Callithrix jacchus: one gene and its partners. The protein of the gene in region 3 interacts with the protein of the main gene of each other region in a pairwise test. Links are inferred from orthologs where the notes say so. Each region holds a gene or a part of one and is shown on either strand. Other genes may lie near its edges. The genes, in order: EIF4A2, MED18, TRIM39, POLI, UBXN6, WDFY3 and PSMD9.

The links.
Region 1: the proteins of TRIM39 (region 3) and EIF4A2 interact in binary tests that used the Homo sapiens proteins (3 or more experiments, as listed by UniProt). The two-hybrid records come from large-scale screens. The link is inferred for Callithrix jacchus from reciprocal best matches to the Homo sapiens genes TRIM39 and EIF4A2.
Region 2: the proteins of TRIM39 (region 3) and MED18 interact in binary tests that used the Homo sapiens proteins (3 or more experiments, as listed by UniProt). The two-hybrid records come from large-scale screens. The link is inferred for Callithrix jacchus from reciprocal best matches to the Homo sapiens genes TRIM39 and MED18.
Region 4: the proteins of TRIM39 (region 3) and POLI interact in binary tests that used the Homo sapiens proteins (3 or more experiments, as listed by UniProt). The two-hybrid records come from large-scale screens. The link is inferred for Callithrix jacchus from reciprocal best matches to the Homo sapiens genes TRIM39 and POLI.
Region 5: the proteins of TRIM39 (region 3) and UBXN6 interact in binary tests that used the Homo sapiens proteins (3 or more experiments, as listed by UniProt). The link is inferred for Callithrix jacchus from reciprocal best matches to the Homo sapiens genes TRIM39 and UBXN6.
Region 6: the proteins of TRIM39 (region 3) and WDFY3 interact in binary tests that used the Homo sapiens proteins (3 or more experiments, as listed by UniProt). The two-hybrid records come from large-scale screens. The link is inferred for Callithrix jacchus from reciprocal best matches to the Homo sapiens genes TRIM39 and WDFY3.
Region 7: the proteins of TRIM39 (region 3) and PSMD9 interact in binary tests that used the Homo sapiens proteins (3 or more experiments, as listed by UniProt). The two-hybrid records come from large-scale screens. The link is inferred for Callithrix jacchus from reciprocal best matches to the Homo sapiens genes TRIM39 and PSMD9.

The regions. Positions count from the first base shown.
Region 1 is NC_133516.1:15,751,232-15,755,217, forward strand, and holds the start of EIF4A2 (eukaryotic initiation factor 4A-II), read left to right. Parts: upstream 1-1,186; 5' UTR 1,187-1,221; coding exon 1,222-1,250; intron 1,251-2,038; coding exon 2,039-2,087; intron 2,088-2,174; coding exon 2,175-2,307; intron 2,308-2,415; exon of another isoform or gene 2,416-2,484; intron 2,485-2,585; coding exon 2,586-2,725; intron 2,726-3,512; coding exon 3,513-3,681; intron 3,682-3,790; coding exon 3,791-3,900; intron 3,901-3,986. UniProt on the Homo sapiens protein: ATP-dependent RNA helicase which is a subunit of the eIF4F complex involved in cap recognition and is required for mRNA binding to ribosome.
Region 2 is NC_133508.1:65,007,660-65,010,635, forward strand, and holds the end of MED18 (mediator of RNA polymerase II transcription subunit 18), read left to right. Parts: intron 1-1,603; coding exon 1,604-2,157; 3' UTR 2,158-2,476; downstream 2,477-2,976. UniProt on the Homo sapiens protein: Component of the Mediator complex, a coactivator involved in the regulated transcription of nearly all RNA polymerase II-dependent genes.
Region 3 is NC_133505.1:35,052,398-35,056,580, forward strand, and holds the start of TRIM39 (E3 ubiquitin-protein ligase TRIM39), read left to right. Parts: upstream 1-1,383; 5' UTR 1,384-1,743; intron 1,744-1,759; exon of another isoform or gene 1,760-1,851; intron 1,852-3,699; 5' UTR 3,700-3,831; intron 3,832-4,090; 5' UTR 4,091-4,097; coding exon 4,098-4,183.
Region 4 is NC_133514.1:97,474,867-97,478,366, forward strand, and holds part of POLI (DNA polymerase iota), read left to right. Parts: intron 1-2,369; coding exon 2,370-2,522; intron 2,523-3,500. UniProt on the Homo sapiens protein: Error-prone DNA polymerase specifically involved in DNA repair. Plays an important role in translesion synthesis, where the normal high-fidelity DNA polymerases cannot proceed and DNA synthesis stalls. Favors Hoogsteen base-pairing in the active site.
Region 5 is NC_133523.1:4,202,917-4,207,196, forward strand, and holds the start of UBXN6 (UBX domain-containing protein 6), read right to left. Parts: upstream 2,801-4,280; 5' UTR 2,694-2,800; coding exon 2,611-2,693; intron 2,145-2,610; exon of another isoform or gene 1,797-2,144; coding exon of another isoform or gene 1,783-1,796; intron 1-1,782. UniProt on the Homo sapiens protein: May negatively regulate the ATPase activity of VCP, an ATP-driven segregase that associates with different cofactors to control a wide variety of cellular processes.
Region 6 is NC_133504.1:113,000,769-113,003,494, forward strand, and holds part of WDFY3 (WD repeat and FYVE domain-containing protein 3), read left to right. Parts: intron 1-1,829; coding exon 1,830-1,953; 3' UTR 1,954-2,726. UniProt on the Homo sapiens protein: Required for selective macroautophagy (aggrephagy). Acts as an adapter protein by linking specific proteins destined for degradation to the core autophagic machinery members, such as the ATG5-ATG12-ATG16L E3-like ligase, SQSTM1 and LC3.
Region 7 is NC_133510.1:125,105,493-125,108,992, reverse strand, and holds part of PSMD9 (26S proteasome non-ATPase regulatory subunit 9), read right to left. Parts: intron 3,041-3,500; coding exon 2,939-3,040; intron 1-2,938. UniProt on the Homo sapiens protein: Acts as a chaperone during the assembly of the 26S proteasome, specifically of the base subcomplex of the PA700/19S regulatory complex (RC).

The DNA of each region.
Region 1 (3,986 bases), on a different chromosome or scaffold from region 3:
TATTTAGAACCAGTAACTTCTATAATATAGAAAACTGAGTCAACTAGTAATCATTCTTTAAGTCGGCCTTCTGAATCAATAAGAAAATGTTTCCCGATAGTCTCGATGATATTTTGCACCATGGGTAGGGTTGTAATTTAAAGTTAAATGACTATATACGTTATTTTTTATTTTTACCGAGGGACCTGAGATGGGGCTAATTGAAAACATCTGGAGCTTAAAGACCCGTGCAGTTTACGCAGCGAGGATATAGCTCTGAATTCCAATAAATCAACATTTCACTATATATCGGCAATCAAAACTCAAAGCCTTTTTAAAAAATGATGAATACAGACGGAATCAAAATCAATGTAGTCCCAAAGCGTCCATTAACATTCGTGCGTTCCAAGGAAAATTACTGCTTCTTGGCTTCTATCCATTTGCAAAAGTTTGATTCTTTTAGGCATTCTTCACACCTGTTAGGTTAGAATCAGCTTTCTTTTTAAGAAAAAGAGAACGAAACACTAGAAGCGATATGAGAATAGAATTGGCTATTCCAGAGACATCTGCAAATGACACTCCCATTTTTTTCCTCGCGCTGCAAAATGTACCGGTAAACCGGACTTTCCGGGACTCGCTGGGTGGCCGACATTTTCCCTAGCAGGAATTTTATGTTTCCGAGAGCTGAATGGATGTTAACGTCAGGCTAGACGCCAGGCAGGTCTTCATTGTCAAATTAAACAGCGGTGGGAGCAAGCGGAATAACCGAATTCCCCTCCCGCACCCGAGCGCCGGCAGCCAGCAGAGAACCGGGACCCCTCGCCCGCGGGAAGCCCCGGTCGCCCAGCAAGCAGCGCCTCCGGCTCCAGCTGGGCTCCTCTGGCCCGCCTCTGCGTCAGGGACGCGGAAACCCCGTAGGAGCTGGGCGGGCGGGGAGCGCGGTGTTTGAGAAACGCTGCAGCGATATTCTTCCGCCGCGAGGCAAAGAGTCCCAACCCAACCCTGGGCCCTAGGATTTCCAGCGACCCTGGAGTATCTAGAAATTGCCACATTTGTATTTTCCTACCGACTTGCTTAGGATTTTATCCGAAGTAATGACCCCAGGATCACAATTTTGTGGCTGGCCGCAGAACGGTGAGAAAATTCCTCCGCGAGAAACGGGTTCCGGCCACGAGCCTATAAAAAACGGGTGGCGCGGTGGTGCTGTCTTTTCAGTCGAGAGCTGAGTGGGTTTATCGGATCATGTCTGGTGGCTCCGCGGATTATAACAGGTATGGCGCTCTGTTGGCGGTCGCGGTCTGTAGTGAAGGTCATAGGGCGCCAGGGGAGGTGATAGTGGATGGCACGGAAACAAGAAACTAAAAATTCATGGACGCTTCCTTGGGGTACAGCACCCCTGTGCCCTTCGAGAAGCTTCCATGATGGGTAGGGCCCGGATTGTGGGGAGACAGGACGAGGGTGCGGAAACAGTGGCCAAGGGGCGTTTTTCCTCCCTAAGACATGAGGAAATTTCAGCTGCTTCCTCTCCCAGTGTAGAGGACGGCAAACAAGCAGCAAAAAGTCTTGGCGCAGACCGTGTTCGGTACAGTGTAACTAGGACCTGAACCTTGTGGTCAACCGCACGACTTGAGGGTCCTAGGCTTTAGTTGGCGAAGGGTTGGAGGCAGCGGTCTGCATTCGGCCACCGCGCGGAGGCGACGGGACCGGACCGGCACTGGTGCCGGCGAACCGTTGGCATCGCCCTCGCCAGGCCGCTCCGCCCGCGTCAATCACCCGGCTTGCGCATTGTTGGGGGCGGAGCTCAGGGCGCGGAGCTCTCGCGAGACGCTCCGCCGCCGAAACGGGAGCGCCGTGCGCTCGGGCCTGGGGGGCTGCCTACACGGGCGGCTGCAGCCCCCAACCTTTAGAGAGGCGCACAGTGTGATACTCGCCGTGCAGCGGCTGCTTTAGGTCGGGCACGGAAGGGTAACGTGCAGAGACGGGTTGCAAAGGGCTATCCCTTTAATATGCAGTTAGGAGGCTTGGAAGGGATGTTGTCTGACTGCAGTGTTATTGTCAGCAGAGAACATGGCGGCCCAGAGGGAATGGACCCCGATGGTGTCATCGAGGTAAGAAACGGTTTTGGATCTTGAAGCTTTGAAAAGGTGAGTGTGTTCATCTCATTTATGCCTGCATTATTTTTTTCTAATTTACAGAGCAACTGGAATGAGATTGTTGATAACTTTGATGATATGAATTTAAAGGAGTCTCTTCTTCGGGGCATCTATGCTTACGGTTTTGAGAAGCCTTCCGCTATTCAGCAGAGAGCTATTATTCCCTGTATTAAAGGTAAAAGAAACTTCGATATTTTTAGGAAATGAATTTTTGTTCTACATAGATCTGAACCATGAAAGGGAAAGTAACCTCTGGGGGACTAGCACCTGTTTGTATTCCTTAAAGTGAAATGATGGCAATCATCTTTCGGGACTGACCTGAAATGAAGAGAATACTCATTGCTGATCACTTGATTATTTGGGCATAATTCATGTTCCAAATGGAATACATGGTGTGAAGTAGAAGTGACAATTTGATGTGGGATCGGTAAATATGTATCCTACTTTTTTTAGGGTATGATGTGATTGCTCAAGCTCAGTCAGGTACTGGCAAGACAGCCACATTTGCTATTTCCATCCTGCAACAGTTGGAGATTGAGTTCAAGGAGACCCAAGCACTAGTATTGGCCCCCACCAGAGAACTGGCTCAACAGGTATTGATAGTGTAGTTCAAAAAAACTGCTTGCGTGTTGCATAGGTTTCAGGTTTCACAACTGTGAAGAATTTAAAACTTAGTATAAATTGGTCCTACCAGATCCCTCCATTTAATTGTCCATGCATGCAGGGAGTTTTTGTTGAAAGTTTTAAAAGAACTGGGTATGCAGGTACGGTTTGTAGGGTTGTACATGAATAGCTTGAGAATCGGAAGCTCTCTGGATATACTAGATCTGTCCCCATTTTTTAAGTTTGAATGCAGTTGTGCAACATGAAAACTGCAGTGACATGTTACCATTTGACTGTCTCCGTAGTTTGTGATGCATCTGTTGCATGCTATGTTTTCAAAGCTCACTGCTATATTGGCTTTGAAGTAAACCTTCCTAATAAAGCTGTAGGCTTTATTGAGGTCAAGATTATGTAGGGCACAATACTCTCTGGGGAAGAAAAAAATCAACATTTGCCCTAGCTGTAATTACAGAACATATATTTCACTATGGATTCCTTCGTTCACACAGTGAAGAATAATGTAGGAAATGTTATTCTTGAATTGTCTAGCTGATGTGTGGGGCAACAGCATCCCAAGTCTGACAAGGCACAAGAAAGACATAAAGGGAATTTTACATTGAAGCAGTTAGGTCAGTGTGCATTTTAAGCTTGGAAGTAGATTTGTGCTGTGCATGCATAAAAGCTGTTGGCAGACCAGATTATATTTGCCATTATGCTTTAAAAATTAGTCATTGACCCTGGAATTCTGCAGGATAATAATTAAGCCTTGGTTTTTAGATCCAAAAGGTAATTCTGGCACTTGGAGACTATATGGGAGCAACTTGCCATGCCTGCATTGGTGGAACAAATGTTCGAAATGAAATGCAAAAACTGCAGGCTGAAGCACCACATATTGTTGTTGGTACCCCTGGGAGAGTGTTTGATATGTTAAACAGAAGATACCTTTGTAAGTATTGTCTTTAAATGTATGCTTTTTTTTTTTAACTGTTACATAGTTGAAAAGTCGTACTATCACCCAGTAGATCTAGAGATGACATATGGCCTTTTTCTAACAGCTCCAAAATGGATCAAAATGTTTGTTTTGGATGAAGCAGATGAAATGTTGAGTCGTGGGTTTAAGGATCAAATCTATGAGATTTTCCAAAAACTAAATACAAGTATTCAGGTAAGGATTACTTCACCCCTCTCTTAAAGAGATGTGGTTTAATGCAGGTGCTGTTACAAATACATCTGGCATGTTTTATTGTCGTT
Region 2 (2,976 bases), on a different chromosome or scaffold from region 3:
ATATGCTGAAACCCCAACTTGAAAAAAAAAAAGAAGAAGAAGAAAATTAACTTTACTTGCAGTGAGCCAAGATTGTGCCACTGCACTCCAACCTGGGCGACAGAGCGAGACTCTGTCTCAAAAGAAAAAAGATGACACAAATGTCACATAGGGAGGAAAAGAGTATTGATACAAGAGAGGACTAATATTGAGTCCTAGTCCTCCAGTGTTTAGGGAAGATGAGAAACACCAAGCAAAGAAGACTTAAAAGGAATGGTCAGCGAGTTAAGTGAAGAACCAAGAGAGTTGTGTCTCAGAGGCCAAGGGAAGAATAGATTTCACAGTGGGTATAATCTACTATAACAACCATTTCAGATGTTGCCAAGGGGATGAAGATTCTATGAAGCAATTAATTCTCTCCTACTTAGATACAGAAGAGGAAAGCTTTTCCTGATAAAAAGGAAACTTTAGCTGGGCGCGGTGGCTCACGCCTGTAATCCCAGCATTTTGGGAGGCCGAGGTGGGCAGTTCACGAGGTTAAGAGATCGAGACCATCCTGGCCAACATGGTGAAGCCCCATCTCTACTAAAAAATACAAAAATTAGCTGGGCATGGTGGTGCATGCCTGTAATTCCAGTCACTCAGGAGGCTGAGGCAGGAGAATCGTTTGAACCCAGGAGGCAGAGTTGCAGTGAGCTGAGATCATGCCACTGCACTCTAGCCTGTGACAGAGCGAGACACCATCTCAGGAAAAAAAAAAAAAGGAAACTTTATATTTCTTCTATAAATGAAAGACTTTTATTTGTTGGAAATTGAAGGCAATTGTTAAAGTATATGACAACAAAATAGTGTTATTGGCTGGGCATGTTGGCTTACGCCTGTAATCCCAACACTTTGGGAGACCAAGGCCAGGAGTTCAAGACCAAGCTGGACAACAATGTAGTGAGACCCCATTTCTATAAAAGCAAATAAATAAATACATAGCTAAAACAGTATTATTAATTTTTTTTTTTTTGAGATGGAGTCTCACTCTGTTATCCAGGCTGGAGTGCAATGGTGCGATCTCTGCTCATCAAAACCTTCACCTCCCAGATTCAAGTGATTCTCCTGCCTCAGCCTCCCGAGTAGCTGGGATTACAGGCACGCGCCACCACACCCAGCTAATTTTTGTGTTTTTAGTAGAGATGGGATTTCACCATGTTGGCCAGGGTAGTCTCAATCTCCTGACCTCAGGATCTGCCCACCTCAGCCTCCCAAAGTGCTGGGATTTCAGGCATGAGCCACCATGCCCAGCCAGTATTATTACATTCTAGATAGACACTGTAGCTGATTAAAGGCTCTAAGTCCAAGGCATGTTGGAAATTAGCATTAGAGAAGGCCTAAAGACTTTGTAGTACTAAATAAGAAAATTCCAAAAAATTGAAAAGGAAAATAATAACTGTCTCACAACGTTATACAATATTTTGCTAGTGTAACTCCTCTAAAATCTCATGTGTTGGCCCTATGTGTTGTGAAATGCTTCACTAAACTGCTTTGGTTTTTCATTTTAATTTTTTTCAATTTTATGCTAATTCCATGACCTAAAAGGAAAGATAGGACTCAGAGGTGCTTTTTCCCTTTTCAGGAAGTGTTTTAGATCACAGTTTGGAAAGCCTCATCCACCGCCTTCGTGGTTTGTGTGACAACATGGAACCTGAGACTTTCCTTGACCATGAGATGGTATTCCTCCTTAAGGGCCAGCAAGCCAGCCCATTTGTTCTAAGGGCCCGACGCTCTATGGACAGGGCAGGGGCACCCTGGCATCTGCGCTACCTGGGACAACCAGAAATGGGAGACAAGAATCGCCACGCCCTGGTGCGAAACTGCGTGGACATTGCCACGTCTGAGAACCTCACCGACTTCTTGATGGAAATGGGCTTCCGCATGGACCATGAGTTTGTTGCTAAGGGACACTTGTTCCGAAAGGGCATCATGAAGATTATGGTTTACAAGATTTTCCGCATCCTGGTGCCAGGGAACACAGACAGCACTGAGGCCTTGTCACTTTCCTATCTCGTGGAATTAAGCGTAGTTGCACCCGCTGGACAGGACATGGTTTCTGATGACATGAGGAACTTTGCAGAGCAGCTAAAACCTCTGGTTCACCTAGAAAAAATAGACCCCAAGAGGCTCATGTGACTAAGAGAATCTCTCCACATTTGGGGCCTGTCCTTACTTGTTTGAAAAAATGTTTTAAATGCTCCATTTCACCACTGCCAGCATTCTTCCTTCAGGGAGGAGGATGCCTCGTGATGATTTCGTTTTCATGACAGCCTTTCTACATTAAAGGCTCAGGACATCACAGAGAATCTATCTAATCCCACTGTATAAAGAGGAGAAACTGGAGTAAATTAGGTTTTGGAAATAAAAATTTCTTGTTTGGCCATTTGTGTGTAAGGTTTATAACATTAGAGGCTGTGAGCTTGTGCTATATGGTAATAAAGGCAGTGGCCTCGAATTTTGTTTAGGAAGTCTTTATTTACCCCTAGGTAACACAGATTTTCCTTCTTAGCTTTATAGTTTTAACTTTCACATTGAGATCTTTAATTCATCTAGAGTCCATTTTCTAGGGGGTTTATAAAAACCCAGGTTTCTTCTCCTGGCAGTGAATTCGTTTTTCTACCACCATCCAAAGAACAGTGTTCAGTGCTTTGTGCTGCTACCATTGTCACATAGGTTTCCATGTAGGTATTTTATTTTTAAGTTCTCCATTTCATTTCATTTTTTTTCTTTGTTTCAGTGACAGCAACACAATGTTTTTATTATTAAGGCTTTATAGTAGAGCCAGTTCTACCAGTAAGGCAGGTACCCTTCCCTTTTTGTCCTCTAAAATGGACTTACAGTGTAGTGTAGTAATATTTCAAAAAATAATAATAAAAGAAAATAGACTTAGCATCCAGGTATGGTGGCTCATGCTTATAATCCCAGTACTTTGGCAGGCAGGACAAGAGGATTGCT
Region 3 (4,183 bases):
TACTCGGGAGGCTGAGGCAGAGAATCGCTTAAACCTGGGAGGCGGAGATTGCAGCGAGCCGAGGTCAAGGCACTGCACTCCAGCCAGGGCAACAGAACGAGGCTCCGTCTAAAAGGGAAAGGGAAAGGGAGAAAAGAATTGGACATTCTCTTGTTAATTTCCTTAGTCTAATCACATTCCTGGTTATCTACAAACAGAAAGCCAGAAAGGAGGGCTATCAACATCTTATGCACCACAAATTAACAAATCAAAACCAAAACCAAATCTATCATCACTCTCCCTCTGGAGCCACGGCTAAGGAGGCTCAATGCCCAGTTAGTGGCTTTCAAACTCCCTTACAAGTGAGGCATCTTGTGAATTAGAACAAGCACTGCTGCTAAAATCCCTAACGGCCATATAGCAATGCGAAAAAAGGTATCAAACGTAATTTTCTCATTTAATCTTCATCAATTGTTGGCACCAAAAAAAAAGGAACAGTAAAGAAAAACTAGACTGCTGTAATTAGCATGTGTGATAAATACCTCAGACATTGAATCATAGCTTCTGTAAGTAAATAGTTTCTGGCCCCCAAGATGAAAGGTTAAATAATGCAAGGTGTTTGTAAACAGCAGCACAACTTACACCGGAAACTAGAGCACTTTCTCACCAAGCAGAGTACATCAAAATTTGCTCACCTCTTTCAGTCAACATTCTGCATGACTAGAGTTGGGGGCGGGGAGGCGGAGCTAGCTATCTTTTCTACCAGCCGAATCACACCCCTCCTATCACTAACCCCTCCTCCTCAGCTCCTTCACACCTCTACCCAGTACCAACCCCTCCCCAGCCCCATCACCTCTTCCCCGGCCTCATCACCTTATCCACTTCCACCAAAATCACAGATCTGATAAGCTTCCAGCAGCACGCGAGCAAAACAGGGAGGCTATAATACAAAAGTCCGCAGTCCCTACACAAACACTACACCAGCCGAGAAAGTCAAGTCACAGCCCCAGAAGTGAAAAGAACCGACCTTGGCTCTCAGTTAATCAGCGTTTATCCGGCCCATGTGTTGCGGTCGGATCCCGTGCGAAAGAGCCAAGGACACAAAGGTGAGCAGTAGAGTCGCGGTTCCAGCTCTCTCCCGGCTCCCACTACAGCGGGGTGGGTAATTTTGGTAAATTTCGCCAAGCAGGGGCAGGATAAAGAGCATTTGGAGTCTACTGCGGGGAGAACTTACCTAATCCCTGAATGTTAAAAGGCCAAAACACCACTAGTCGGAAGTGACGTGCCAGCTGAGTCCCGCAGGTCCGCCACGTAATTGGCCGCCGCCACAGCTAGCCACCCTCTCACCGGACTGGCCCGAAGATAGGAAAAGTGTGAAAGTCCACAAGCCGCCCTCGCCCCGCCCTCCTCAGCGACTGCCGGCTGCACCGGGGAGCGGCGGCGCCTGGCCAGGGTCGGGACCTGGAGCCTGGACGAGACAGGCTCGCCGACCCCGGCGCCCGTCCAGCGCCCTGCGGGCAATGGGCTTCAGCGCTCGAGCACGCGCATGCGCGGGCCTCTTTCTCCAGAGGATTCCTCGGGTCACCTGGACGCCAGCATCTCGGCCACCTGCACCTCCGGGTCCCTTCTCGGCCTTGATTCCTCCTGCTGGTTCTCATCGCCGGGCCTCTTTCTTCTTCCGCAGGCACCACTAGACCCTGCTGCGACCGCCTGCCGACACCCTGGGTTCCACTGACACCAGCCTCGGTGCGGCTTCCGCTTCCGGCGAGTATTGTGTGTCGCGCCGCGGGGCGGGGGCGAGGGGAGGAGGAAGGAGGGAGGCAGCGCTCCGGCGGCTCCGCGCCCCGCACTCCCGGACCCGAAGCCGGGAAGGTAGGTGCTGTCCCGCCACCGCGCCCGGGCCTGGGGCCTGCCCCCGCCGGCCGGCTCCGCACGCCGCGTCCCAGCGCCCCGCGACTGCGTCACCGGCCCCCTGCACGTAACCACAGCTGCCTCCGCCCGCCTCGGGCCCGGGCGGACGTTTTGCCGCCCCGGCGACGTCAGCGCGTCCGGCGTTGCTTGGCTACCCCGCCGTTCCCCCGTCCCGCTGCTGCTCACCTCCCCGGGTGAAACTCTGACGCAGTCACCGCGGGTCTCGGCTGCGTCATAGCGGCGGGCATCCCACCTTCACGTCATACCTCTTCCTCACCTGGACACGCATCCCTCCCTACCCTGTCAACCACGACGTCTCCTCTTTCCCTTCTCTAATCCCCCTGCCCCAGATCTGGCGGAAGAAGGTGGAGATGGGGGTGGGACAGAATTATGGACCCCCGCTCAGGAGAGGGTCGCAAGGTGGGACACCCTGAAGAGTGGTAGAAATAAAATGAGTATGTCCCTGAAGTTTGCCCTTCAGCTGAGACACAAGGAGTAGATGGAGAGGAAGGACCAACCCAGAGGCACTCAAGGTCTCACTATGGCTATAGCTCCAAGTCCTCGCTATTCCTCCCTAACCCTTTCCCCATTTCCCTCACCACTTCTTTGCCAGTCTAGATCGTCCTGGTGCATTACTGTGCATACAGTTCTACTCAAGTGAGGAGGCCACCTAATTTGTAAAAGACTGAGGAAGGGGTAGAGTCACCACTAGTTAAAGGTGGATTCCCACAGGTAGAGAACAATCATCTGACTGAACTTCTATTGCTGACAGAAGAAATTCAAGTCCAAAGAAGTTATCAGCTCCTACTCCAAACCAAACACATTTGTGTGTGCCAACCATATATACGGAAACAGTTGTTAACCCACCTCATTACATGGCCACTTATCTCTCAGCACATTGATCTACCAAATTTCCTTCCTTCCATTAGGTCCCTGGATAAAGATGGGGGTCAGGGGGAGAAAGGGTTACGGGAATAGATAAATCAACTTAGGATGGATTGGGGGACCAACCTTCTGTTTCATAAATCTCTCTGATGTATTTCCAGTTCTTCTGAGGCTGCACTTGAGGGAGATCTGATTGCCTCTCTTCTGTCTCTTAATTCCCAACCACTTCAGAACCCATCATGCCCAGGCATTAGTTATCAATAGCTATATGATACACTATGCCCAGGCATTAGTTATCAATAGCTATATTGAAAGATTCCAGTCACTACAAATAGACATGTTCCTCTCTTTTCAAGAAGTTGTTGGCCTGGGCTCAGTAATGTACTCTTTAATGTAGTTGCCATAATTTATCAGTTTTCAGCAGTTCTAAGTGTCCAAATGCACACAACAGAAATGGAATGTTGCATGAAACATTTCATTCCAAGAAGAGGGCATACTTTCTTTAGGCTAGTCTGATAAAAGGAAGAACAATTTCAGATTTTCCTGAAAAGAGGTTGTCACCTTTGCCTCATTCATTCCATTTATCACACTTTAGAACAGTGTTATCTAACCCTTTCAATTTGAGGACTCTTTTTGCTTATCTGTGGTGACTGATACAACAAAAATTATGCCCAGACCTTTTTTTGTTCAAGCTTATCAGCTATCATTAGTGTCAATGTATATTATGTCTGGCCAAAGACACTTCTTCCAATGGGCCTGAGGAAGCCAAAAGGTTGCATATCGTGAGAGAACAATGTCAGAGAATGAAGCTTAGACTCCAGTGGACTTATCATAAAGCTCTTACAACATTAAAATATGACTGATATAAGAAATGTTAATATTTTTATGACTTTTTTACTCCCAAATTCCTTTCTTGTCTATTAGAAGCATATGTCAAACTAGGATACAGTGATCTGGAACTATTGGTTCTAAGATACAAGTGGAATGAGCCTGGATCAGAAGAAGTATGCTGAGCTAGAGTTGAAGGAAGCTTCTCTTTCTAACGAGAAGGCGGAGGTAAGAGACAAGATGGATTAGGGGTTGGATGTCAGTTTACTAACAAAAAAAGTTGATGGTTGGGAGTCACAAGTTTTGGAAGTGGAGAAACAAAGAGGTTGAATTGATTGGAAGAGAAGATGGAGAATAACAAGATGGGGCAAAAATTTGGAGTTAGGACTTAACATAGGGGTAAATGTCAGGCCAGGGATGCAAAAATAAATAAATAAAACGTTCAATTAACATTTTTATTTTCTCTGTGTCCTTCCCCACCCCCAAGTTAAATTATGGCAGAGACAAGTCTGTTAGAGGCTGGGGCCTCTGCAGCCTCCACAGCTGCAGCTTTGGAGAACTTACAGGTGGAGGCAAGCTG
Region 4 (3,500 bases), on a different chromosome or scaffold from region 3:
AACTTTATGCCTGTTGTTGCTACATAATTAATAATTACACTTCCTTTCACTCAAAAAATGTCTTGTTTTAGATGATAAGTTATATGGTTTCCCTGCATAGCAATGGATTATTAGGCTGTTACCAGATTTTTGCTCTTAGGCATTTTCTTGTAGAAATGTTGGCATATTTTTAAAGGGATTTCCATAAGGTAAGTTCCTAGAGGTGAATTGTTGGATCAAACATGATTTGCATTTCAATGTTTGGATACTGTTATATGTTACACTTGAGGTTTCCCAGCATATTGCTGGTATATGTGAGAGTGTTAGATAAAAAGTCTTTGCCTGATAGGAGAAGAGGATTGTTTTGACTTGTAGTTTTTCATGAGTAGGGTTGAGTATTTTTTCATATATTTTTGGTCATTTATGTGTTTTTTTCTGTTAACCTATTCACTTGTACCTGTTTTTTATTTGGGTTGTTCATTTTTTTCTAAGTACTAAGTACTTAGTACTTTTTTATGTCACTTTTTTTGTGAAAAAAGTTTTTCTTTTTTTAAGTTATTTTATCAATTTTTCCTTACAGTATTTTTCTGAGTTGAAGTGGGAACCTAGCCAATTAGTCCTTTACTGTATTTATCTCTGACCTGTTTATGATATATAACCTTATTATTTATTTCACATATTTATTCTACTGCATGTATACCTTTCTTCAAGGTAGTTTTTTTCCCTCTAATTAGAAACTCCTCCTTTGAGCCTTGTATAATGACATGTTTAATAATGTATCTTGCTTGTGAAGTTGATACCAAGAAAGAGGTTAACTTTAGGGATGGAGGCTGGGCATGGTGGCCTACGCCTGTAATCCCAACACTTTGGGAGGCTCTGGTAAGGGGATCATTTGAGGCCAGCCTGGGCAACATAACATAGCAAAACCCTGTCTCTACAAAATTAAAAAAAAGAAATTAGCTGAATGGTAGCATGTGCCTATAGTCCCAGAGGCTGAGGTGGGAGGATTGCCTGGGCCCAGGAGGTTAAGGCTATAGTGAGCTGTGGTGTGCTACTCCACTCCAGCCTGGGCAACACAGTGAGACCCTGTCTCCTTAAAACTAGCAACAGCAAAAACCTTCAGGATTGGGATAATTAGGGATTTGTCTTGTGACCTAAAATCAATCAATGTTTAGTGATCCACCAGCTTCATGTGTGATTCTGTATTTAACTTGTTTTTCTACTTAGTACTTAAACCTTACCCTTTATTTTTCTTATATAGTATTCTTTTGATAAACTCGTTTGTTTTCTACATCTTATTTTGCATGTCAGGTATATGCTTTTGAAACTAAATTGCAGAAATTGATAAAGGAAATGCAAAACAGTCATTTTATATGATCAGACATGTTGTCAGTCTGTCCTGAGAGGAGGTAATGGTTGTCTCTAGGTAAATCAGGAGATTTTTGGTGTTCACCATGTCACATTGTTATCTTTATTGGTTTCTCCTTATTGTCAATGCTGACATCAGCCAAACCAAAAAGCACTTTTGGTATTTGTGGAAAAAACAATCTGTGTGGAATGACATAGTCCTTTTATTTCTGAGCTTCAGATTATACGACTTTAAGGATCTATGCATTTTGTATATTAAGAGACTTGCATTTGTTTTCCCTTACCCAGCTGGTGTCGGTAGGTGATTAAGAGTGAAGTTAAAAAACTTTCTCAATGATTTTAAAGTTATTAGTCTCAGTGTTAATATATGAAAATTGATAGTTCTTTTGAATTTATTTTGAATTTTGGTTCAATTCAATAGAGTAAACATTTGACTTAAGGACTAGATATTGTGCTAGATGCTGGGAATTGGAATATCTGTAAGTTGTGGTTCATCTCTCTCTGTCCTAAGTAATACGCTTGGGAATGGCTAACAAAAATACCATGTTACAGTATAATTTGAAAGTTGACTGACTTTCTGTTTTATTTAGTAATAATTGTAACTTTTAAATGTTATTTTGTTTTGCCTCATTTAAACTCTTGGGAAAATATAGCTAAAATATACTATTATAAGCAGCCTATAGTTTATTCTTTGACACATTTCTTCAAGGTCATAAATTTACTATAAACATTGATATTTAATGTACTACAGATATAAAAATTATAGGTCTGGAAGATTTAGCTAAATATGTTGCCATGAACTGCCCTAGGAATGTCATTTTTAGATGTTTTGGAAAATATTGCCTCAACTTAAGATGTGGTACAGAAAGAATTCAGTTAACTGAGGGTTTTATTAAAGATATTATGGAACTATGAATGTATATAAAACCTTTAACAATAAATTTGATACATTTTTAAGCACCAGTTAAATTTATCCTAGTTATTATTATTTATATCTGTGCTCCAATATTATTTCAATTTAGAATTACTGGAAGAATTTAGTCCAGTTGTTGAGAGGCTTGGATTTGATGAAAATTTTGTGGATTTAACAGAAATGGTTGAGAAGAGACTACAGCAGCTGCAAAGCGACGAACTTTCTGCAGTGACTGTGTTGGGTCATGTATACAATAATCAGTGTGAGTGGGCTCTTATTCTACCTACTAACTAAAAGTACATATATTTCTTAATGTTCAGTGAGTTTGCTGTGTGATTCTGAAAGATTCATGACTTTTGTTGGAGGTATAGTTATATTTAGTCTGTAATCTGTCTAGGACGGCTAAAATTAGGTGTTGCTATTCTATAATAAGTATTAAAATTTTCATGATGTGGCTCAGTGCTCTGTGCACTTTTCATTTGCACAGAACATTGTTCCTGTTCATCTGCACAGAGCATTCATCTGTGCAGAGTTTTTATCTGACAGTGCATCTGCTCACATTTTAGAAAGCCATACCCAGCTGGGCACAGTGGTGCACCCCTATAGTCCCAGCTACTTGGGAGACTGAGCTGAGAGGATTGCTTGAACCCAGGAGTTTGAGTCCAGCCTGGGAAATAGAGCAAGATCCCATCTCTTCTTTTTTTTCTTTTTGAGACAGAGGTTTGCTGTTATTGCCCAGGCTGGAGTGCAGTGGCACGATTTCAGCTCACCATAACCTCTGTCTCTCAGGTTCAAGTGATTTTCCTGCCTCAGCCACCCAAGTAGCTGGGATTATAGGCATGGGCTACCATGCCCAGCTAATTTTGTATTTTTAGTAGAGATGGGGTTTCTCCTTGTTGGTCAGGCTGGTCTCAAACTTCCAACCTCAGGTGATGCACCTGTCTCGGCCTCCCAAGGTGCTGGGATCATAGGCGTGAGCCACCGTGCCTGGACGATCCCATCTCTTAAAGAAACGAAAAGCCAAACCTCTTCAGGTCATTCTTTTTTCTTTTCTTTTTTTTTTTTTTTAGTTGTAATTTTTAAATTTTATGTCCTTGCTGTCATGGACAGGAAAATCTGCAAAATTCAGTGACTAGCATAAGATGACATGTCTTTGATGAGAGTGATATGAAGATAGTGTTAGGGCTCTGTAAGGATATTTACATGCTAATTAAGCTTTCAGACATCTTAAGACTCTGCA
Region 5 (4,280 bases), on a different chromosome or scaffold from region 3:
CCTAACAAGCTGTCAGGGAGACCTCACCATCCCCTGTTCCCAAACCCAAGAGGGTTGTTGAGAAGTCCAGGTGATGTACCCCATGCCACGCCACCCTTGTGTCAAGACCCTGGGGTCAGCTGACAACAGAACCAGCCTTGCCCTGGCCACGTGACTCCATGCCAGGCTCAGGGCTGTGCAAGTACAAAGAGCTCAGGTAATCACGGCCCTGCCCTGTGGAGCCCTCTGCCAAGGAGGATTCCGTAATCCTCTGAGCACAGTGACCTGGCAGAGCAGCCCTCTCTCCCAGCTGCTCGGATGCGTCTGTCTCGCCCATCTCCTCAGGCCCCTCCCGTGAATTCAGGCGCTGTCACTTTCCATGCTATAGATCTGTAAAAACTTCCAGGAGACCAGGCTCTCAGTTCAAGCCCTATACTCCTCTGGCTCTGCTCAGATTCCCGGGAAGCCCTCCCTCCTCCTCTGGAGGCTTCCGGAACCTGCTTCGTGCCCACCCCTGCCTATCCCGTCCTCCCGCAGCTGAGCAGATTGGGTGGAAGAGATGACTCATGAAGACCCACCCTGGCCCCATCCCATATCTAGGTCTTTCCAACAAAACAGCATTTCCCAGGGTGCCTCACCCCAACCGGCTGTGGGCCCTGCTCCCCCGGGCAGTCACAGGGACCCTTCTGGAACCTCATTCAGGGAACGTCAGCGTCACTCCACTGCATAATGTCCTCCCACTGCAAAATCCTAAGGCCTCCCTCGGCCCAGAGAGCCCTTCCTGGCCTGGCCCCATCTCTCCTGGGCTCCCTGTCGTTCTTCCCACACCCCAACTGCTCCCCGTTGTACGGCCCTGCACTGTCTGCGCCTTCTGCCCAGAATGTTCTCCTGGGGGGTGGGAGGAGGTCAGGGGATCTGGAAAGGGCTAGGGCTACCACAGGGAGAGAAGGAGGGGGCTGATTTCCTCACAGCTGAAGTCTCGCTGTCCTGGCAGAGGTCTTCCCGGACCACCTGGCGGTCCCTGCTCACCCTATTTCGAGGCCCTGGGCACTGCCTGAGCTCTCATCCCAGGCTTGTTGGTTTATTTACCAATCGGCTCCCACTAGGTGGTGAGCCCTGGGAAAGCAGCCGCCTTGTCCTGTCCGCCACTGCAGCCCAAAACAGGACTTGGTGCCCACCCGCCCCACACACCCTGGAGTATCACTCCAAAAGGGACCTCTGCACGCCTTTCCTTTCCTTCCCGTCCCTTCCCGCCCGCCCCTCCGCTCCAATCTTCCCCCCTATGCCTGGGCTCTGGGCTGATCCAGCCATCGCCCTCACACCCTGGATCCTTCCTGTCACGCCCAGTCCCAGTGGCTCTAGTACCCCGTTCACCCACTATTGGTTGAATCAATGAAGGGCTCCCCCCATTTGCCCACCTCTCTCCCTGACCCCTCTGTCCCTGACCCCTCTCCCTCCTTTGCTTTCCTGCTCAGCCTCTCCCCCAGGAACCCCAACGTCCTCACTATGGCCCTCCCTCCATCACCACCCCACTGCCCGTGATTCCCTGACCCGCACTTCCTGCCACCTCCCTGCATCTCCTCCTACCCCTTCCCAGCCCCACCTCTTCACAATCCCTTCCATTATTGCTTATAGACCCCTGCCCTGGCAGCCTGGCTGACCTCCTTCCCCTTCACTCTCCGTCGGTCCCCACCACTCCCTGGCCAGCCAGCTCCCTGCAGCGGCCCCAGCTCTCCAGGTTCCCTATTCTCAACCCAGCAGCCCTCAGCCTCACACTGTCCCCGGTTCCACCTCTTCCCCTACCTTCCATGTGCCATCCCAGCTGGCTTAGCCCTGCCCAGGCCCTTCTCTCGAAGTCTTCCCTAGACAATCCAGAAGTAGGCCTGGCAGCTACCTCCTTTCCCTCCCCTCCCACCACCATCTGTCAGTCCTTCACCTCCAGTCTCCTCGCACACCGTTCTCAGCCCTTCACTCCCAATTCGCAGGGACCTCCCAGGTCACTGACGACTCTGCCCACCACCACTTCCCTGGCCTTCCAGACTTCCTAGTCTGTCGTCAACCTCCCACGTGCTCCAGATCCCAAGCCCACATCCCCTCTTCCCATGGATGCCCCACAGTGTGTGTCCTCCTCCACGCTCAGCTCCCATCCCTGGTCACCCAAATTCCCCCAAATCATCCGGGCCGCTTCAGAACCAGCCGGGTCCCCAGACCTCTCCCTCACCACCCGCCTCCGGACTCATCATCCCTTTTTTCCCCCAGGGTCGCTCCACTGACTCCCAACTTGCTGCAGCCCCGTCGCCCTAGACCCCCGCCACAGCCTCCGAGGCCCGACCACTGACAACTACCCTCCTGGCCCCTTCCCCCGCCTCTTCCCGACCCGCCCCCGGGTCCCTCCCACACGCCCTCCTGCCCCGCCCCCAGGCCGCTCTCCGCTCTCCCCTCCCCCTGACGCCCACGACGCCCACCTAGGCCCCACTTGCCCCGCCCCCGGCACCTCTCCCGTTTCCCTCATTCGCCGCCGCCGCTTTCAGCCCCTCGCCCTCCGATCTCCCGCGCACCTCGAGGCCCCAGACCTCTCTCCCCGGCCGTCCCCGCCCCTCAGGGCCTCAAGCCCCAGCGATCCTCACGCACCCCACGGAGTCCGTGAGCTTCTGACCGGGTCCCGCGCTCTTGAACTTGATGTCGGCCTTGAACTCCTGAAAGAATTTCTTCATGGTGGCGGCTGGCCCGGCGGCTGGGGGCCGCAGGGGCGGGGGGCACGGGGCCCAGTCGGGGAGGGGCCGCCCAGGACCAACCACCGGAAAAAAAATACCGGGCCGCCGGAAGTCCCGCCTCTCCGACACCAGCCACGTGACAATCAGCCCGGCGTGCCGCTCTACGGCTCGGTGCCTCGCGGCCCAGGGCGGACGCTCTGTACGCCGGAGCCGCGTCTCTGTGGTTCTGCCGGACTACGTTGCCAGGGCGACGAGCGCGCTTCTAGATTGGCTACAGTGCCTTGCCTGGCGCCTTCCGTGGGGCTCCATAAACGGTGACAAACGTTGATGGGAGAGGGACAGGCCGACTGAACCTCGCAGAGAAAGTACTGGGCCCTGACCTGTTCGCTGCTCAACCTAAGCTGGGCGCGGTGGCTCACGCCTGCAATCCCAGCACTTTCGGGGAATCGGGTGGGAGGATTGCTTGACTGAAGTTGGAGACCACCCTGGGCAACATGGCAAAACCATGTTTTCCATAAATTTTTTTTTTTTTTTAATTGTTGCCGGGCGCGATGGCTCACGCCTGTAATTCCAGCATTTTGGGAGGCCGAGGCGAGTGGATCACCTGAGGTAGGGAGCTCGAGACCAGCCTGACCAACACGGAGAAACCCCGTCTCTACCAAAAATACAAAATTAGCCGGGCGTGGTGGCACATGCCTGTAATCCCAGCTACTTGGGAGGATGAAGCGAGGAGAATCGCTTGAACCCGGAAGTTGGAGGCTGTGGTGAGCTGAGATCAAGCCATCGCACTCCAGCCTGGGCAACAAAAGCAAAACTTGGTGTCAAAAAAATAATAAATAAATAAATTAGGTGAGAGTTGTGGCCCGTGCCTGTATAGTCTCAGCTACTTGGAAGGCTGAGGCGGGAGGATTGCTTGAACCCAGGAGGTCCAGGCTGTAGTCAGCTGTGATGAAGCCATTGCATTCCAGCTTGGGCCACTGAGAGAGATTTTGCCCAAAACAAAACAAACACAAAACTAACCTTCCCTGTCTGCTCAGAGCTTACGTGATAAAGTCCCAATTCAATGTGGGGCATTGGAGGCCCCCACGATCTGGCCCTGTTTTGGTCCCTGACCGCCCCCCGCCCCACCCCAGCCCATGCACCTTATCTAGGAGCTGTTGAATACAATGCACTTGACTGGGACCTGGGGATCCACTTTGTCGGGCAAGACAGAGAGAAACCAGTTAATAGTGGCATCTTTGGGCTGTGCATTCTGCAAAGAAAGATAAAGTGACAGTTAAGCCTCAAAAAAAGGGAATTGGGGGTCAGTTGCAGTGGCTTACGCCTGTAATCCTAGCATTTTGGGAGGCCAAGTCCAGCAGATCACTTGAGGTCAGGAGGTCAAGACCAGACTGGCCATCATGGTGAAATCCTGTCTCTAAGGGCGCCAGTAATCCCAGCTGCTCAGGAGGCTGAGGCAGGAGAATCACTTGAACCCGGGAGGTAGAAGCTGTAGTGAGCCGAGATCTCAGCACTGCACTCCAGCCTGGTGACAGAACGAGACTCCATCACACACACACACACAGTATTTCAGTTAAAGGCAGATGT
Region 6 (2,726 bases), on a different chromosome or scaffold from region 3:
AAACCCCGTCTCTACTAAAGATACAAAAAATTAGCTGGGCATGGTGGCGCGTGCCTGTAGTCCCAGCTACTCGGGAGGCTGAGGCAGGAGAATTGCCTGAACCCAGGAGGCGGAGATTGCGGTGAGCCGAGATCGCGCCATTGCACTCCAGCCTGGGTAACAAGAGCGAAACTCCGTCTCAAAAAAAAAAAAAAACCTATAATGGGTTTTATAGAGCAGGCCTGTCAAAGCACAGAGCCACTAGTCATATATATATATATTATATTCTGGTTTTTTTTTTTCCCTTGAGACAGGGTCTTCCTCTGTCACCCAGGCTAGAGTGCAGTTTGGCACAATCACAGCTCATTGCAGCTTTGCTCTCCTAGGCTCAAGCAGTCCTCCCACCTCAGCCTTCCAAGTAGCTGAGACTATAGGAGAGAGCCACCACACCTGACTAATTTTTATATTTTTTGTAGAGACAAAGTCTCACTATGTTGCCCAGGGTAGTCTCAAATCCGTGAGCTCAAGCAATACCTGCCTCAGCCTCCCAAAGTGCTGGGATTCCAGGTGTCAGCCTCCACACCCACCCTATTAATATAGTAATTTCTAATAGCATTCTTGTATGTAAGCTGGCATACATCTGTTCTTTGTAGTGTTTACTTTTCAAAATATTGTTTAAATATAGGTAATTCTTTGAAATTATTAATTGCCATTAAATGTTGGATAGAAGCATTATTGGAAACCGACCAAACCGTGATAAGTTCTAATGAAGCAGGCGCAGAAGGAAGCACTGTCCCGAACACACAACCTGTGGTCTCTATGGCTGAGAGCTGTTGACACTTTTGAGGGTTCTGTAAGGTCCCGTGACAGTTCTTTAAACCCATAAGCATATATTACTTAATTTACTCTCTGGACGCTTTTATTGGTAGGTTAATGGACTAAACATAAATCTGCATTTCCAGGCCAGGCACAGTGGCCTCTGTCTGTAGTCTTAGTACTTTGGGAGGTCAAGGCAGGAAGATCACTTGAGGCCAGGAGTTTAAGGATAGCCTGGACAACGTAGTAAGACCCCATCTCTACAAAAATGTTTTTTTCATTTCTCAAGTGATTTAATACCACATCCTGAATCACACCCAGCTTTATTCCAGGAATAGGAACTCTGAATACGTCTTAAATACTTTGAACATCTCTTAAGAATAGTTTCCTTCAAATAGTTCTAGTAAGATAAATAGGAAATGAGGGTATTGGGACTGGAAAAGGAAAGCCAGTTTAAGAAATTATTGAGGAGTGGATCAATCAAAATGTTTAAAACCACAGTGGAACTTGATAGTGATCAAACTGTCGTATTTCTCTTGGAAATTAGAAGACTCACTAATGAGTCATTAGTAATTCTCTTGAAATTAGATACTCATTAGCTCACTAGTGAGTCTTCAAATTTCCACTAATGAGTTTTTCTAATTTCCAAGAGAAATATGTCAAGCTCCAAGAAAAGACACTGACATACCTTTCAAGCTTATAGGCCATAAGAATAGTCTGCACAGATAGAATGGCCTCACACCGCTGTTCAGACACCTTGGCCTTATTGTGTAGGAAAATCTTAACTTTGTTTTTCTGTTTTCATTTTTTCAATTTTCTTCAAAGAAATAGCTTCCCTGGTTTAATACTACTTTTCTTCATAGACTGAAACAAATAATACAGCATTCCTTTTAGTCCTTATTCAGCCACACGACCCAAACCAGTATGGCCTTTGGTATTTTACTGCAAGCTTTCCATTGAATTACTAATGTTTCTGGTGCCAGTGATCAAGCATGGAGAAGACCTATAATTCATTGACTTTTCCTTTCATTTAGGTGCAGTCGATTTCAATCTGAAATCAAACGCTTGAAAATCTCATCCCCGGTGCGTGTTTGTCAGAACTGTTATTATAACTTACAGCATGAGAGAGGTTCAGAAGATGGACCTCGAAATTGTTGAAGATTCAACAAGCTGAGTGGAGACCACGGTCTGTAGACCCCTTCCCGATTCTCCTGTCCCAGCTTGGAAGGCATTGAAAACAGTCTCCGTTTACACATCTCTTCATACCACGTGTTTGAAGTATTAAAATTCAAAGGGATCATTGAATAAAACGGGTGTAGAGTACAGGAATGGGGCAGACGCGATTCAGGTGAACAGCACAAGAAGAGTATGAGGTGTTTCCTAGGAACAACATTTCTGATATCCAGTTCTCCGTGATGACAGTAGCTGTCTCCAAGCTACTTATTAACTGTCTTTTCTTGCATCTCATTTTTATAGAGCTACTCATCCTTATTTGGAAAAACCAACAACAAAAAAGGCTTTTAGAAAATGGTTGTAAATCTTACTTCTTTGCAAGTAACTATGTATATTGTAAATAGATATAAAAGGCCTTTTTTCTAAATAAGGACTTAACTGCCTGTAACATGAAACTTCAAACTAAACCACTAACTCAATGAACAACTTATGGTTTGTCTGACATCCCTCGCTTACCAATTAATTATAAATATGTTTTTTTAAATCCCCAAAGACATTATCAGTGGTCTTTTTTTCCTTTCCAACTCAGCCTGTGTGCCTGATGTCATTTCTTTCAAGTTGCTCACAGTATCTCCACTTAAACTAGGCTAGTAACCAAAATAATGTGGACCTTCTTTAGGAAACAGTGTGGGAGAATAGAAGTCCGGCTGTAAGGTAAACTAGGAATATTTGGGCGTCTTGTACCTGGCTACGTACCA
Region 7 (3,500 bases), on a different chromosome or scaffold from region 3:
ATGGCTGGAAAGTGGCTGCCTCAGGAGGACAGGTGATGAAAATGTGAAATTGTGATGGTCGCACAATTCTGTGACTACACTGAAAACTACTTTAAAGGGGTGAATGTGTAGTATGTGAATTACTCTCAATCAAACTGTTGTAAAAATAGTAAAAATAAGCTGAGCACAGTGGCTCACACCTGTAGTCCCAGCACTTTGGGAGGCCGAGGTGGTTGAATCAACGGAGGCAAGGAGTTTGAGACCAGCCTGGCCAACATGGCAAAACCCCATCTCTACTGAAAATACAAACATTAGGCAGGCATGGTGGCAGGCACCTGTAGTCCCAGCTACTCAGGAGACTGAGACAGGAAAATCACTTGAATCAGGAAGTGGAGGTTGCAGTGAACTAAAATTGTACCACTGCACTCCAGCCTGGGTGACAGAGTGAGACTGTCTCAAATAATAATAACAATAAATTTCACATGGACTAAAGGAAAAATAAAAATAAACCAATAAGAGAATTAAAAAGAATTTCTTTAAGCAGACACAAAATGCAAGAGCCATAAGCAAAAAAACTGATAAATTTTACAAAATCACCATTTTATTTTTATTATTTTTATTTTTTTAAGAGACAGGGTCTTGCTATGTTGCCCAGGCTAGAGTGCAGTGGCTATTCACAGGTGCAATCAATCCCACTACTGATCAGCACTGGAGTTTTGACCTGCTCCATTTCAGACCTGGGCCAGTGCACCCCTCCTTAGGCAACCTGGTGGTCCCCCCGCTCCCGGGAGGTCACCATATTGATGCTGAACAGTACAGACACCCAATCGGCATAGCGCGCTACGGCCCAGAACTCCTGGACTCAAGCAATCTTCCAGCCTCAGCCTCCCAAGTAGCTGAGACTATATGCACACGCCACCGCGCCCAGCAAAATCACCATTTTAAATGTCCATATGAATTACAAATTTGATGACAGTATCGGTGCAGAAACGATGGCCTGACCACTAGGCAGGGCACAGGCCCCTGCCAGCTGTCTCCTGACTTGACCCAGCCCAGCCTGCACTGATGGGTTATAGCCAGCTGTCTCCTGACTTGACCCAGCCCAGCCTGCACTGATGGGTTACAAGAGGATGAGCAGTGCAGCTGAGCAGGAGTCAAAAAACCCAGAACTGGGCCAGGCGCAGTGGTTCACGCCTGTAATCCCAGCACTTTGGGAGGCCGAGGCGGGTGGATCACGAGGTCAGGAGTTCAAGACCAGCCTGGCCAACACTGTGAAACCCCATCTCTACTAAAAATACAGAAATTAGCTGGGCATGGTTGCATGCACCTGTAGTCTCAGCTACTTGGGAGGCTGAGGCAGAAGAATCGCTTGAACCCAGGAGGCGGAGGTTGCAGTGAGCAGAGATCCGACCACTGCACTCCAGCCTAGCGACAGAGCGAGACTGTCTCAAAAAAAACACAAAAACTGTTGGTTAAACTGGAGACTTCATTTGGGAACAAAAAACTTTAGTTAATAATTTCCCTGGGCTTTCCCAAAATATCACTCCTGATAAGTGTGGATCTTTGCTAAAAAACAACACCAAAAAAAATTCCAGCCTGGACAACATAGCAAGACCTCATCTCTACAAAATATAAAAAAATTAGCCAGTGTGATAGCTATGATGGTGCCACCACACTCCAGCCTGGGTGAAAGAGCATGACTCTGTCTTTAAAAAGAAAAGGGCTAGGCACGGTGGCTCACACCTATAATTCCAGCACTTTGGGAGGCCAAGGCGGGCAGATCATTAGGCCAGGAGTTCGAGATCAACCTGGCCAACCTGGTGAAACCCCATCTCTACTAAAAATACAAAGGCCGAGAGCAGTGGCTCACACCTGTAATCCCAGCACTTTGGGAAGCCGAGGCAGGCAGATCACAAGGTCAAGAGATCGAGAACATCCAGGCCAACATGATAAAACCCCGTCTCTACTAAAAAATACAAAAAATTAGCGGGGCGTCGTGGCACACGCCTGTAGTTTCAGCTACTCAGGAGGCTGAGGCAGGAGAATTGCTTGAACCCGGGAGGTGGAGGTTGCAGTGAGCTGAAATTGCACCACTGCATGCCAGCCTGGCACCTGGTGATAGAGTAAGACTCTGTCTCAAAAAAAAAAAAAATTAGTCAGGCATGATGGCGCGCACTGGTAATCCCAGCTACTCAGGAAGCTGAGGCAGGAGAATCGCTTGAACCAGGAGGTGCAGTGAGCCAAGATAGCGCCACTGCACTCCAGCCTGGGTGACAGAGCGAGACTCCATCTCAAAAGCAAGAAAAAAGAGAAAGAAAAGATCTCTAAGAAACTTTGCTAAATGAAAACAGGGACAGGATAGAGGAGAGGGGAATTTGGGTTAAGGTAGCCAGGAAAGGCCCCCTGCGAGCATGTTACTGGTGTAAAGCAGAGGGAGGATGAAGAGGAAGAGCATTCTAGGCAGAAGGAACAGCAGGTGCCAAGGCCTTGAGTTAGGCTGTGCCGAGCAACACCATTAAGGCAAGTCCAAGGCCTCAGCAACACTTCCTGCCCCAGCAACTCCAGGGCTATAGTCTGGAGGCTGAGTGCTATGATCTGGATTTCTGTGCCCCCCTCAAATTCATATGTTGAAATCCTAACAGCCAATGTGATGATATTGGGGGGGGGTCTCTGCAAGGTGATCAGGTCATGAGGGGTGGAGCCACCACTGGGATTAGTACCCTTATACAAAAGGTTCCAGATTTCCGGCTTTCCACCACGTGAGGATACAGCAAGAGGGCACCACCTAGAGGCTAGGAAGCAAGCCCACCCCAGACACCAAATCTACTGGTGCCTTGATCTTGGACTTCCCTACCTTCAGAGCTGTAAGAAATGAACTTCTGTTGTTTGTAAGCCACCAATCTATGGCATGCTGTTAGAGAAGCCAAAACAGCCTGAGACACCAGGCAACCCCACTCACCCCCTCACTGTGCTGCACCACACTGCCAATGTTATGCAGAGACTGGAAGTTCTGGGTGTTCACAGAGCCAAACTCCACAATCTCATCATCCACTTGCAGACCCTGGAGAGGGAAGGAAAAATGAAAAATCAGATTAGAGGTTCAATGTGCTCCTGGTGTTCTCTAACCTTCAATACCTAATTTAATGCCAAGGTCACGAACTTGTTTCCTACAGGGAGGGCCCAAAACTGAGGTAAGGGATGTTGAAACCTCATGCAGGAAGAGGCAGTGGGTAATGGGGCCACCTTCCCCTGGCATTCCTTTGAGGGCAGCTCTAGTAAAGATGACCAGGTCTGCCCAGTGTCTGAGAGTTGGCAGTTACCAGACACTGTGAAGGCCTTGAGGAGCACGGGAAAGGCTAAATGCTGCTCTCTGGGGTCCTAACCCAGATTCAGGGGTAAAAGAAGGCAAGCCAGGCTAGGCCATTTTATTCAGTGGTCAAAATTTAGACAAGATATAGTGCGGGCACAGTGGCTCACACCTGTAATCCCAACACTTTGGGAGACTGAGGCAGGCTAATCAC